2 linked regions of the Nothobranchius furzeri genome follow. The protein of the gene in region 1 interacts with the protein of each later gene in a biochemical or structural test. Links are inferred from orthologs where the notes say so. Each region holds a gene or a part of one and is shown on either strand. Other genes may lie near its edges. The genes, in order: mlxip and mlx.

Region 1 (7,478 bases):
ATTACTTTGTTCTTCACTGGTTGGACTTGTTTGGGTAGCGCACAGAAGGGTGTCATGGTGTGGTTCTCCAGGCCCCTGTATCGTTGGATGGATGTTTACAGGCGTGCTTTCCACCACTTCTTCAATGGATCCTAACACTGCTTTTGGAGGTAAAAAAACCTCATGCCTTGTGGAATTCTGGATTGGTATTCTCACTATTTTTGAGGCGCCAGCCGGCACATCAACAAGCGCAGGAAATAACTCCAACCCATCTGGCATTTGCCAGTCTACATTGGGCTCAAACAACATGACTCCTCCTCCAGGAAAAGCTCTCATGCGGCATTTCACCTGACAGATCTGACTGCGGGGGATTGTGAGTCCCTTCTTTCCAACTCTTAATACTGGACATTCTGACTCTTCCAGGGGTGACTTTGTGTGAACCACTGACACCAGACTTTCAGCATTAATCTTCTGAATTCTCAGAGCTTCTGAAAGGAGACTTACTAAGTGGCCATCGTCTCTTTGATCACCATTCCCTGCAATCATCTCCTGTATCACATTGAAGCCTAGTAGCGGGCTGCTTAACCCTCCGCGACTTACTAGCATGGGAACATAAATAGCAACTGAGCCGTGCCTGCTACTTGTGATCTCAAGAAGAACTTCTATCCACCCTTCAAATGGCACCTCTGTACCATTAGCTGCAGTAACTTTGAGTGGGTGGTCTGAAAATAGGCTTTCTAGTGGCCTAATTGTCACGTTTGGTAAGGCTTTTTGCACCCAAGACTTCTCCACAATACTTACTTGGGCCCCACTATCCAACAACATTTGAAGTTTGACCCCATCAAGATAACAGGTTACCATACATCTACCCCCAATCAGCTGAGCGACACGCTCCCTTTTGGACGCTTGGCACGATCTGGAGGTCTTGGTTGAAGAAGAACTTTTCTCTTTGGAATGCTGCTTCTCTGGGATTGGGGACTCTGCATTCTCCAAGGTCACTGGTGGTCCCCCCCCAGCGACCTCACCCGGTTTCCCGACAGAGTTCCCTTTTGTAAGCAGCCAATAGCTCTGTGTCCCTCTTTTCCACATCGGAAGCAGTGTGAGCAGACGTCGTTTCCTTGGGATACACATTGGTGACATTTCCCTTTAACTTCAGGCTTGGCTGACTGTTTGATGTGGGGAAAAGAGTTGTAAGTGTTTTCGGTCGCCACATTCGCTACTGGTGTGAGGGCTTTCTCCAAACTTTTGGCCAAAGATGACACTTGGGCTGTTAACTCCTGTATCGCATTGCGATTGGCCTGCACCTCTGCCTGCACTTGAGTGGCGTTCTGTTTATCACTGTCCAGCTGGGCTGTGTTGATACTGATTGCTTTTTGTTTGTATACCTGTCCCAACCTGGTTTTCCTCTCAGTGTCCTCCCTCAGTGATCTTGTGATCACCTCAAGTATAAAGTCATCAGTCACATTCATGTCTGAAATATGTGGTTTAAGATCTCGTCTGATGTATGAGCATTTTTCATTCATCCCCTGGTAAAGTGAATGAAGAAACACCCCCTGCACCAGTTTACCATCATATTGAAAGTCTGTACCTTGTTTAGAAGCAAACATTATACGCTGCTTGACCCCCATTAGTCTATACATAAACTGTTGTGGGCTTTCTTTGTCATTTTGCTTTGCGTTACTTAGTTCCTGGAACAATTCAGTGCTGCTTTTATCCCTAAGATGTGCTTTAAGGAACCTTGTTAACTCAGCAAGAGTCAGGGTGTCTTTGGTCATGAGCATATCTTTAAAGGTACCAGGCTTAATTACCTTGAGCACGGTTCTGACAACCTCAGTTTCTGAGAACCCCTCAGCTAGACCTTCATCAATTTGTTTACATAGACAGTTAAAACTCAAATCAGAAGCTGAGTCTGAGATTTGACCACCATGTATCTTAAACTCTCTATGTGGTAACAATGCCGCAACATCTGTCAATTTCACTAAACCAGTTACAGGATCAGCAATCACTGATGTTGAGACTCTCTTATTCATTACTGATGCCACTACTGCTGGTTCAGTCTCTGGTACAGCCACAGCATCCCCTTCATCAGAAGCTTGACCACGTTCAACAGTTACCTGGGATGCTTGCAGGTCATCAATGAGGTCACGAAATGCAAGCAGACGAGACATGCCCTGATCTTCGAGGCTCTTCAGTCGTTTACTTCTCAGAAAGTCAACGATAAAGTCAAAGAGCTCCACCTCGGTTGCATCCTCACCGGGAGCATCTTCCACCTCTTCTTCTTGACACCATACTGCAAGTTTATGTAGCAGGTCCCTGTTAGCGGCTCTGGTCAGCTGATGAAGCTGGTTCTGGATCTCCCACTGTAGGTCATGTAGAGTGGCCATGTCTGGATACCTGGCGTCAACCGTCACTACTGTTGTGCATCAGAAGGATATGGATCCCGCGATTCTTGGCTGATTAGCACCTGACCACCATGGTGCTAATCCCGGACGAGCCCCCAGAATTGTTGCCTCCCTAAGATGATGACCAGAGGGGCAACTGGTTTCCTGTTCAATAACGTGTGTCTGTGATAAAGAATAGAAAAAGGGACACACGTTGAGCTGATGTCAGTTTCACAACAGGAAGGTTTATTCTTCCTCTGTGCCCCAAAACGCTACTCGATACCACTGCGCGTAATGCGCCCTCTAGCGGCTGTATGCGGAATAGCATTGTAAACTGACAGGTACACACATACAATCATAACAGTTTTCCCCATCTTATTTCTGATACCAGATTTTACTAGAAAGCTATTTTCAACTCTCTACATCAGTCATTGACATCCAGTCCTGACTGGATAAAATTCTGTTTTTGTTACATTATGTTCAGTATGGTAAATTCAGCTGTCACGTAAAAACATCAAATCAATGAATTTATCCAGGGGCAGAGCATTCAAACTGTTTTATCAATAATGTAACTGTTTCCGTCTTGGCACTGGATATGCATTATGCAGACACAACTTCTGGCTTTTAAAATAAAAACTATCATTGAGAATAAAAGCTCTAAAATCAGCCAACTTCATAATTACTGTTGGCAAGATATTCAAAATCTAAGGGACTTTGGAAAGCAATAACACCTAAAATAATACTTGTTTTTGTTTACCAGAGATTTCACTGTGTATTTGGCTTGGAGAATAATAGCTATAAGAGAAGACTGTCTTGTCTTGTGCCGCTTCTGTTTATTTTGGGCATCATGTTGTGGGCGTGGCTATAACTAACCAATCAGAAACGCTGAAACAAAGGAACTTCCTGTTCCACAGAGAGGAACAGCTTTTTGTCAGCTGGTTTACAGCTACGTCAACTACCTAAACAAAGCTCATAAGTTTACACGGGCCGCTGAATGACCTGGAGCCGGCTGGATTATGGATTAAGTGACAACTCCGCATACATGGCACGGAGTTGGGCAACTTTAAAAACCGGACTCGAACGCGGCGCCACTGGCCAGCTTCATGAAAGGGACGGTGTTATTGTCCTAGCTCGCTGGCTAACGTTAGCTATTTGTTTGCACCGATACGGCTAGCAGGGAGATGTATCAGCGGCAGGCGGACCTTCGGCCGGCGGTCAACGTAAAGCAGGAGCAGGATGATGACTCGGACACGGAGGAGAGCCAGCTGCTGGGGCTACGGAGGGCGGACGGACTGGAGTCCCAGATCATCCACAGCGGACACTTTATGGTGTCGTCGCCTCACTGCGAGCACCCCCCGAAGAAGGGCTACGACTTCGACACTGTGAACAAACAGACCTGCCAGACGTATCATTTTGGCAAGGCGAGCATGTCGCACCTCTCTATCGACGCGTCCCTGACTAAACTCTTTGAATGCATGACCCTCGCCTACAGGTAAGCTGCTACACTCACCTGTCACATGGGCACTTTTACTTTAGCCCAGTGTGGTATCCAGTCACACTCACGAGTCTAATATTCATGTCATTTCCTGTTGGACCAGTCATCTGAAGAAGTTTGCAAGTATCAGCAAAAATGAAAGTAGTCTGCGAAGTAAACACCTCCTTTCACACGTTTTACACCCAACTATATTAAGTTGTGCAATAATTGTTAGCATGAGGACTAATTGATGCGCAGTAACTTTGTCTAAACCAAAAAAGATATAAATTAAAATGTATTTAATGTTTTAAACAAATCTAATTAGACTTGTGTTGGTATTTTATTTGAGAGTGGACATTGTAAGACCAATAGGATCAGTTGAGTAGCATTATTGAGCCAAAATGAGCTTATAGGCTACGTTTTTTATATCTTGTTACAAATTAAAGGCAACACGATGACATCTGTCATGATATGATGTGTAATGTTATTGCTGAGCTTTTTGGAGTCTCGTATTGACGTAGAGGAGTGAGAAAATTAGCTAAATTAACAATAGTTTGGTAATAATGACTCGTTTTTACATCAGCTGTCTGAGTAATCAGCTTTTGTATTAATTTTAAAAATTAGTGCAAGAAAATGTATGATTTCAAAAGCAGTTTTTAAGTTTTTCAAACAGTTGCACCACTGATTTTGCACATAATCAATAACAGTTTGGCTTTTGGTTTTGTACCGATGGATTAAAAAAACGTTATTCACCCACTTTTAAAAAAACTGGATTGGATGCTTCCTTACCAGTGAATTATAGGCCAATCTCCAAGCTCCCTTTTTTGGGTAAGAAGCTTGAAAAATGTGTCTATACTCAACTCCTGGACTTCTTTAAGGACGTTGATATTTTAGAGACCCTCCAATCAGGTTTTAACATGTTGCATTGTACCAAGACTGCCCTTATAAAGGTCATTAACATTCTTTTAGCAACAGATGGTGGCAGTCCAGTGCTGCTGGTCCTATTGGATCTTACAGCAGCTTTCGATACCGTAGACCAGGAAGTGTTGCTCCATCGCCTTGAACATTATGTGGGAATTTCTGGGCAAGCCCTAAATTGGTTTAGATCATGTTTACATGACAGGATGGTTTGTGTGAGGATGGGTGGTTTCTCATCGGGCTTCTCACATCTGCCATGGGGGATACCGCAGGGTTCAATACTGGGACACTTGCTGTTTTCATTTTATATTCTCCCATTGGGTGACATTTTACGAAAGTTTGGAATTGGATTCCATCTCTATGCTGACGACTGCCAATTGTACTTGCCTCTACATGGCGCCGGTGATCACACGATAAAACATTTTTTTGGATTGTCTGGCAGAAATAAAGATATGGTTGGCAGAAAACTTCCTGTGTCTCAATGGGAAAAAAACAGAGGCACTGTTGTTTGGTCCGAGTGGACATGTTGATTTTTCAAACGTAGACTGCGTGAACTGAACTCCTATTTGGGTGTTTCAGCAGTCAGTCTTGGCTTGAAGATGGACAGTGCATTCTGCATGGATGCTCATGTGGGTACTGTAGTATCCTCTTCATTTTATCATTTAAGACGTTTGGCTGAAGTAAAGCCGTTTTTATCTAGACGTGGCCTTGAGACTGTTGTTCATGCTTTTATTATCTCACGACTCGACTATTGTAATTCCGTTTTATTTGGGTACTGTAAACCGGCTGCAGCTTGTCCAGAATGCTGCAGCAAGACTCTTGGACAACAAAAGGAAGCATGAACACGTGACACCAATTTTGGCTGCTCTCCACTGGTTGCCTGTTGATTTTAGAATTTGTTTTAAACTTCTTTTAATGGTGTTTAAGGCGCTGAATGGTGTGGCTCCAGCCTATTTGACGGAGTTGCTGCAGCCATATGTTCCGGGCCGGTCACTCCGCTCTGAGAACCAGCTGCTGCTTGTTGCTCCTAAGGCTAGGTTGAAGTTGGGAGGGGACAGGGCGTGTTCTCTGTTGCAGGTCCGAAACTGTGGAACGCACTGCCCCTAACTATTAGGGGCTCTCCATCAGTAGCAGTTTTTAAAATGAGGCTGAAGTCCTACTTTTATGATCTGGCTTTTAATTCTGTGGGTTAGCAATTGTTAATGTTTTATATTTCGTAATTCTTATTTGTGGTTTTAATTATGTCTGTAGCGCTATATGTTTTATTGTTTTATTCTTTTGTTGTACAGCACCTTGGTGGCATGCTCATGCCTGTAAAGTGCTTTATAAATAAAGGCTGAGTTGAGTTGAGGAAGCTTGAAATCATTTGAGGGGGAAATCTATAAAAATGTATGATTTAAAAAGCAGTTTTTAAGTTTTCTTCATCCTCAAACACTCAGTATTTTTAATAACATTTTTTCTCTGCATAAGTTGATAATTCAGCCATGGACAATGTTGAAATAATACTTATACACATGTTTCAGATCAGTCTTTGTTATTTCTTGAATTATCCAACACACTCGAGTAGGGGTAGACCGACATGTACCGTCGGCAATGGCCGATCTAAAGTCAAGCACAACCTCAGGCAGCCTGGTGCTGTTGCAGAATTTAATTTAAATATATTTTACATTCACCAATAACATCTGCATAATAAATACTCCAATTTAACTTTATTTAGGTGTCTGACTTTAACACTGAAAAGTGCACAAGTTGAGGTTTGTTAGTTAAATTCAGAGTTCAAAAACTGATTCAGCTTCTGACATTTTGTGCATCAACTGGTGTCGTTAGTGACATTTAAGCATGAAAATAGGATGGAAAACACCTGAATATCGGCCATGAAAATCAGACCATAAAAATTGGCAGGACCCATCGGTCATCGTTTGATCATGTCTCCTACATATCGGTATCGGCAATAGAAAAACCAATATCGGTCGACCTCTACTCTAGGGTCCAAAATTAATTTGTATTAGTAGGTCAGTCATAAGCAATTTTAATAATTATTATTTGATAAATGCTTGTGACAGTAACATTCATCCTTGTACTTTTTAATTAACAAAATACCAGAAATCTTATTTCAAATTTTTTTCTTTCAAAATGCACTGAAACCACATAATTGACATTGCCTCACCATGTGAAACCAGGGTTATTATTTACATGTGCAAAAGCATTTTACATAAATGTTAATAGAAATTCAGCTGATGGTAGTAAGATATTAATTGTACGGCTCATGTTACTCCTGGTTTTCTATTTACAGTTGCAGTCTTGGTGCCAGCTGGTAGAAGGATTCCCTCGGACTAAACTTCTCACTCACAGGAATAGACCAGTTGCTTATTTTTGTTGTCATCGTTCATCTTACAAAAATGATCTCGAGTTTGTTTGTTTGTTACAGTTTTTAGCGTTAATCCTCAGTAAAGAACAGGAATGCTATTTTCTCCGACACTCACGCAGCTTGCTATTGTCATTCTGTAACCAAACCGGGACACACACGCACACACTCCGATGACCTGGATTGTCAGGATACTGTTTCACTTGCATGATCCTGTGAACACAAACCAATCACCTTTGGAAAAGAAAGTGCAAATGTAGTTTGTTTTAACAGTTCCAGATATTACACAGGAAGTTTATTTGTATTTTGACCCGTTTATCTCCTCCTGGTGGGCATTGAGCCAAATTTAGGCCATTAAAAT
Region 2 (5,539 bases), on another chromosome or scaffold:
AAACACAGATGATTTTATCTTGCTGATAGTTTATAAGTGTGAACGTGCCTTTTGACTACTCCTTATCCTTAAAGAAAAGGTTGAAACAACAAATCACAGAGATGGTGCCTTTATTTATTTTGTTTCCTGTCTCACATTCAAACACAAACCTGTCTGGTGAGTCTTGATGGTATTTCGTCTCATGCTTTAAAATCTAGTCTGGGAAGGTGAACTTGCCATATTTAATAAATAAACTCTCTATGTTCTACCTTTTTGCATTTGCTAAAAATCCGTCTATAATTTGACCGGACTGAAGCAAACATATATTTGCTGCTGAAACAGAAACAGCCCTGTGTTATATTGTAGAAGGAGCCAACACAAAAATGATGCAAGTTTTCATTCGATTTTAAGATTTACAAAATTAAAAACATCCGTCCATTTTTTCTCATTTTAAACTTGATTTAAATAATTTCTGTTTTTAAACTGACACCAGATATGTAAGCAAGAAAATAATTGCAAATGAGTTCATTGAGAGTACAGATGTCAGAGGCTTGTTCCCAAACAGATGATGAAGACAGCGATTACAGGCACGAGACGTCATTTAAAGACTCCTTTAAAGATCGCCGGAGACAAGCACACACTCAAGCTGAGCAAAAGCGCAGAGATGCAATCAAGGTAGGACTTCAGGACTCCAACTGACACACTTTATAAGAGTTAGATTTAAAATTCTGGCTGTTTAAGAGTTAATATTGATTTCTATGTGTCATTAGAAAGGCTATGGTGACCTGCAGTCCATCGTTCCTACGTGCCAGCAGCAGTCTGAGTTTGCAGTTGGAGCCCAGAAGATCAGCAAGGCTACTGTTCTGCAGAAAAGTAGGAACCTTTTGCAATTTGAACATTTTTACACTGAACTGTTGGTAGAAAAAAAGAACTCTGTACAAACAATAATAAAACCTTTTAGTTATTTTAAAATGTGCAGGTTATGCGTGAGACATGATGAATAGCCCTCCCTGCTGCTGTTCTTCAACTTTATTAGCCATAAAATAACAAATCAGACACTGTTAATAGGCTGAGCAGTTTGCATATATTTAAAGTAAACCTCCAGCCGCTGCCTGGGGAGGCTCCGACTCGATCTCTTGATCAGGAATCATTCGGAATCAGGTGGGAAAGGACGTGACCTTTTACATTCATCCTTATACAAATTTTTAAACTGAATAACAATGGCTTAGGTTGAATTTGAACAAGTTCTGCTACGTCAATATTCTTTGTTTCATAGAGAGAAACGTCACAAAATTTACAGACGTGGAGTTCAGACACTATAACATGTAGCTGTTAGCTAGCAGGCTAACACAGAGCTAACGTGTCGCCGTCAAGATGGTTGCAAACGTCGGGTCTCCTGGAGCCGCGGTGAGTTTCCTTCTCGTCACACGCAGCTCTGCAGGTGTTGAGCAGAGAAAAGTGAGTCTGCCGACCGTGCACATCATGCCATGCACATCACTCAGCACGGCGACGAGGCACCTTATCTGTTATTAATAATATATTCATATTATTAACATACTTTTAATCAATTCACTTCTTGAACGAGTGATTTATTTGGCAAATAAATTAAGGAAATGACAAAAATACCAGAAGAAATAAAGATGAATAATAAAGAGGAGAACTTGGATGTATTCTTTTTTCTTATTTTAATTGCGTTGCTGAAGTATCGGATCGGGACACGGTATCAGCACATACTCGCAATCACATGACTGGGATCAGGAGAACATAAACGTTCTTGTTTAAACAAATGCTCATTTACAAAATGGAGAAGTTGTAACGACACCCCCACGTTTAAACTTCCGGTGTTGTAAAGAAGTCGCTGGTTGATGCTTTTCTGTATTTTATGGCTTTAGCTATCGACTACATCCATTTTCTTCACAAAGAAAAGAAGAAGCAAGAGGAGGAAGTTTCCATCCTGAGGAAAGAAGTGATGGCGCTTAAGATAATGAAAACGTAAGACGGGTTTTTATTGGACTATCTTTCTACCTGAGACTTGTGTAAACACATCCCAGTCCTGTCTGACCAGTGGTGTGGAGGACACATTAGGACCTCAGAAGTGACGAGCATGGACGGGGGCAAATGAGACTGATCCTCTAGGTCTGATCTGAGGCTTAAAGTGACAGTGTGTATTTTTCCTGGCGATAGGGGGCAGTAGATACCTGAATTGTTGCAATCAAGCTGTATTTTTGTGTTGGGAGTAAGACCTTACCAACAGATGCCCATTAGGGTCAAAAAGCCCTGGGGAGTGCAGACTTCAGCAAAATGACAAGCACATCAGACTCCCTTTCATCAGTGACAATGAGTAAAGAGGTAAACGTGTAAAACAACGTTTATGAACGGTGAAGTTTTAGTAAGCACTTGTTACAAATCAGTAATTGCATTTTGCCCTCAAGGGCTCCTGTAGCAGCCAGGAAACATGGCGTCTAATACGACTTAGACCCGCTCCCATGTAATGTAGACTGGACTTTTATGGTTACATGTTAAGAATCTGCCAATATTTTTCAACAACTGGGCACCATTTAATTTATTTTCAACAACATTTCGATGGATATTTCCAGAGATTAACGATAAAAACGGCACATTGTCCCTTTAAATACCTAGAAGTGTTAAAGGCAGTAAGGAAATTCAGTGGAACCATCTGGGATATTAAGAAAGGCAGGGTTTGTGGTGTTGTTCTGAACCTGCTGTCTTTCCCAACAGGAACTATGAGCACATAGTGAAGGCCCACCAGAACAACCCGCAGCAGGGAGAAGATCAGGTGTCTGACCAGGTCAAATTCAACCTTTTTCAGAACATCATGGACTCCCTGTTTGTGTCCTTCAGCAACTCGGTTTCAGTGAGCAGCTTCCAGGAACTGTCAGCCTGTGTTTTCAGCTGGATCGAGGAGCACTGCAAGCCACAGGTAAGGAACGCCACCGGCGCGTCCTTCTCAGCAAACCAGATCGCTCAGCTGAGATAATTTAGTGCTTTTTCTGCTCTGCCTCAGACGCTGCAGGAGTCTGTTGTCGGCGTGCTCCGGCAGCTCAACGGCCAGCTTTATTGATCGAGGAGAAGCCTCCGGCTAACTTCCAGAAAATGACTTTTGACTTGCTCTTGCCTCTCTGGATGGAGCAAACCCTTCAGGCCGTGCAGTATTCGCACGCGTCAGCCCATCGGTGACTCTGCGCCTGCGTGTTGATTACCTCATCGTGTTTTCTTAGCAGGAATTTAAAAAAAGCTGCCTTCAGCCACTTTCTGACCGTGTTTACATTCCCATAGAGCTGAGTGTAAAACACGAGAAAATTTCAACTTATGCTTTCAAACAGAAAAATGTTAGCACACATTTTAGCCTCATCGCTACAAAAATCTGACTTATTCCATTTATTTATACATGTGGTCCTTTTTTCCGGCGCAGCACGTCTGCCATTCCTGTCAACGGTCACTGCTCCAACGCTGAACGCAGCTTCTGTGGCGCCTCAGAGAAACACACTGGTGGTTTTAAAGTCCTCTGCCTTCAGTGTGGCGGTAAATAAATGGTTAGTTCCAAGAATGAGGCGGATAAATGTTGTAAATATGCCACAGGTCTCCAACAGGCTTTAGTGTTTAGTCACAGTTTAGCTGCAGGTGACCTGTCAAAAAGGTTCATTTAGCAGGTGTTGATTTTAATGAGCCTTCTTTGAATTTCAGCCCGATTTTAAATGCTGTCGTGTTTTCATGATCCGTGACGTCGCTCTGTGCTACAGTGAAAGCAGAAACTCTAAAATGCATCAGTTTGTTTTTTTTATTCCAAACCTCTGACTCTAGATTCTCTAGGATCAGCAGCAGATTTGAACGTTTTGTTCTTGTGGACATGATCTGCTGCGGAAGTCTGGCTCGTTTCATGTTCTAATATTTTTCTGTTTGAAATGTTTAAAAGGTTACGCACAGATAAAAACACACAGCCACTAAAGTCTCTCTAGTTTTTCCCGTAACGTCAAAACTGCACTCTTCCCTCTGCCCTGTTGTGTATATGTTCAGTGGACTGCTGCTGATGCTGTTTTGATGACATCGCATGGTGGCCGGTGGTGAATTAATCACCATCAGGAGAGAAACTTCAATTTATGGACTTAATATTTTATTTGCATACGAGAACATAAAGTGCAAAACCAACAGCAGAAAAGGGCAGGATCGTAGTTTTGTAGTGGTGACCAGCGAATGAGCCCAAAGCAGTTTTGGCAGTATTAACAACTGTGAAAATGTTGATTTAGAAACAGCTGAACAGTTCACTCTATATAATAATGTATGCAGCAAACTATCTGAAGCCTGTTAGAGGTTTGAATCATTTGCTGACTTTCTATGTAAGCTCAGGATAATGAAGATGCTTTAAAGGGGAGAAAACACCACAGTTGCCTTTAGGGTCACAATCAGCCCTCGATGCAGTAGCTACATGTAGTCTAGCCAATAAGAATGCTAACTTTTGTACAAATGTGTTTGATTTTTTTTCCTTTTATTATTTATTCGAAAGAAATGTTAAATAAAGTGGCTCAAAAAGCTCCGATGTGTGGTCCACTTCCTTGTTCAAGAACTTGGAACCACCACCTTACAGTCCTCGTCCGTCTCCACGCCAACCTCTTCCTGTAGAAGAACAAAGCTTGGAGGATTTGTTTTTCCATGTAGGAAATGTGATGTTGCTTCTTCAGCTCACCAGGAACTCCTTTTTGCTCTTTGGATATCCCTCCAGGATGGCGTTCATCATCTCTGAAGCCTGACAGACCCAAATAATTATTAAATGCTCGTTGCTGAAAACGTATCTGGTGTGAAGGCATTTCTAACTCCAAATGAATACATGTACCAATCTCTTCCTCTTTTTCCACTCCTTCACATAAACCTCTTGCTCTTTGTAAACCTGCAAATGAAAACATGAACGTGTGTTTCAGGGGAAAGCAGACCACCTCGCCAGAACGGAGACTTTATAGGTGCACACCTTCTCCTTCTCCTCTGGTGTGACATGGTTCGTAGCTGACTTGATCTTCTCCACGCGTGCTCTGTATCCAGAGCACTCCGCTTTCAGCTCTTTAATCTCTGCCACCATCTCTTCTGTAGTGAGCGAACTGTTCAGGCCCTTCAGCTCTGTCATAAACAAGAGTTAAACTCTGGGTCAAGCTGCAACAAGAGGCACCAGTCAGCAGGGTCCTGTACCTGCGTCTAGCTGTCTGCAGCTCTGTGTGAGGGACTGCAGCTCTGCACCAAGCTCTGAGATCTGACCATCCATCGCTTTCAGGTCATCATCCTTTACATCTTTAAACTGATTCTGTTTGCAGAGATTAACAATAGTAGAGTTAGGCATCCCAAAGCATGCTCCTGCCTACAGCAACACAACAAACCTGATCAGCAAAGTAGATCTTCTGCTTGCCATATATTTTCTCCTTTATTTTGCCCTCCTGAGCAAGCAGCTCCATGGCTTTGACCACCGCCTGTTGGGTGAATATAGTCCAACAATAGAGCAATGGCTACACAACACCAGCCCGAGGAGCGGATCTCACCGTTTTGCCCAATCCATGCT

Evidence for each region.
Region 2: the proteins of mlxip (region 1) and mlx form a complex in vitro, tested with the Homo sapiens proteins (2 studies listed by BioGRID, with this or other methods). The link is inferred for Nothobranchius furzeri from reciprocal best matches to the Homo sapiens genes MLXIP and MLX.

The regions. Positions count from the first base shown.
Region 1 is NC_091757.1:46,783,724-46,791,201, reverse strand, and holds the start of mlxip (MLX-interacting protein), read left to right. Parts: upstream 1-3,257; 5' UTR 3,258-3,541; coding exon 3,542-3,852; intron 3,853-7,478. UniProt on the Homo sapiens protein: Binds DNA as a heterodimer with MLX and activates transcription. Binds to the canonical E box sequence 5'-CACGTG-3'. Plays a role in transcriptional activation of glycolytic target genes. Involved in glucose-responsive gene regulation.
Region 2 is NC_091745.1:7,584,913-7,590,451, reverse strand, and holds the end of mlx (max-like protein X), read left to right. Parts: intron 1-544; coding exon 545-654; intron 655-749; coding exon 750-852; intron 853-1,871; coding exon 1,872-1,971; intron 1,972-2,718; coding exon 2,719-2,920; intron 2,921-3,004; coding exon 3,005-3,061; 3' UTR 3,062-3,285; downstream 3,286-5,539. Other genes in the region: psmc3ip (homologous-pairing protein 2 homolog), read right to left, coding at 4,555-4,611, 4,682-4,741, 4,829-4,882, 4,961-5,106, 5,176-5,287, 5,361-5,450, 5,520-5,539. UniProt on the Homo sapiens protein: Transcription regulator. Forms a sequence-specific DNA-binding protein complex with MAD1, MAD4, MNT, WBSCR14 and MLXIP which recognizes the core sequence 5'-CACGTG-3'. The TCFL4-MAD1, TCFL4-MAD4, TCFL4-WBSCR14 complexes are transcriptional repressors.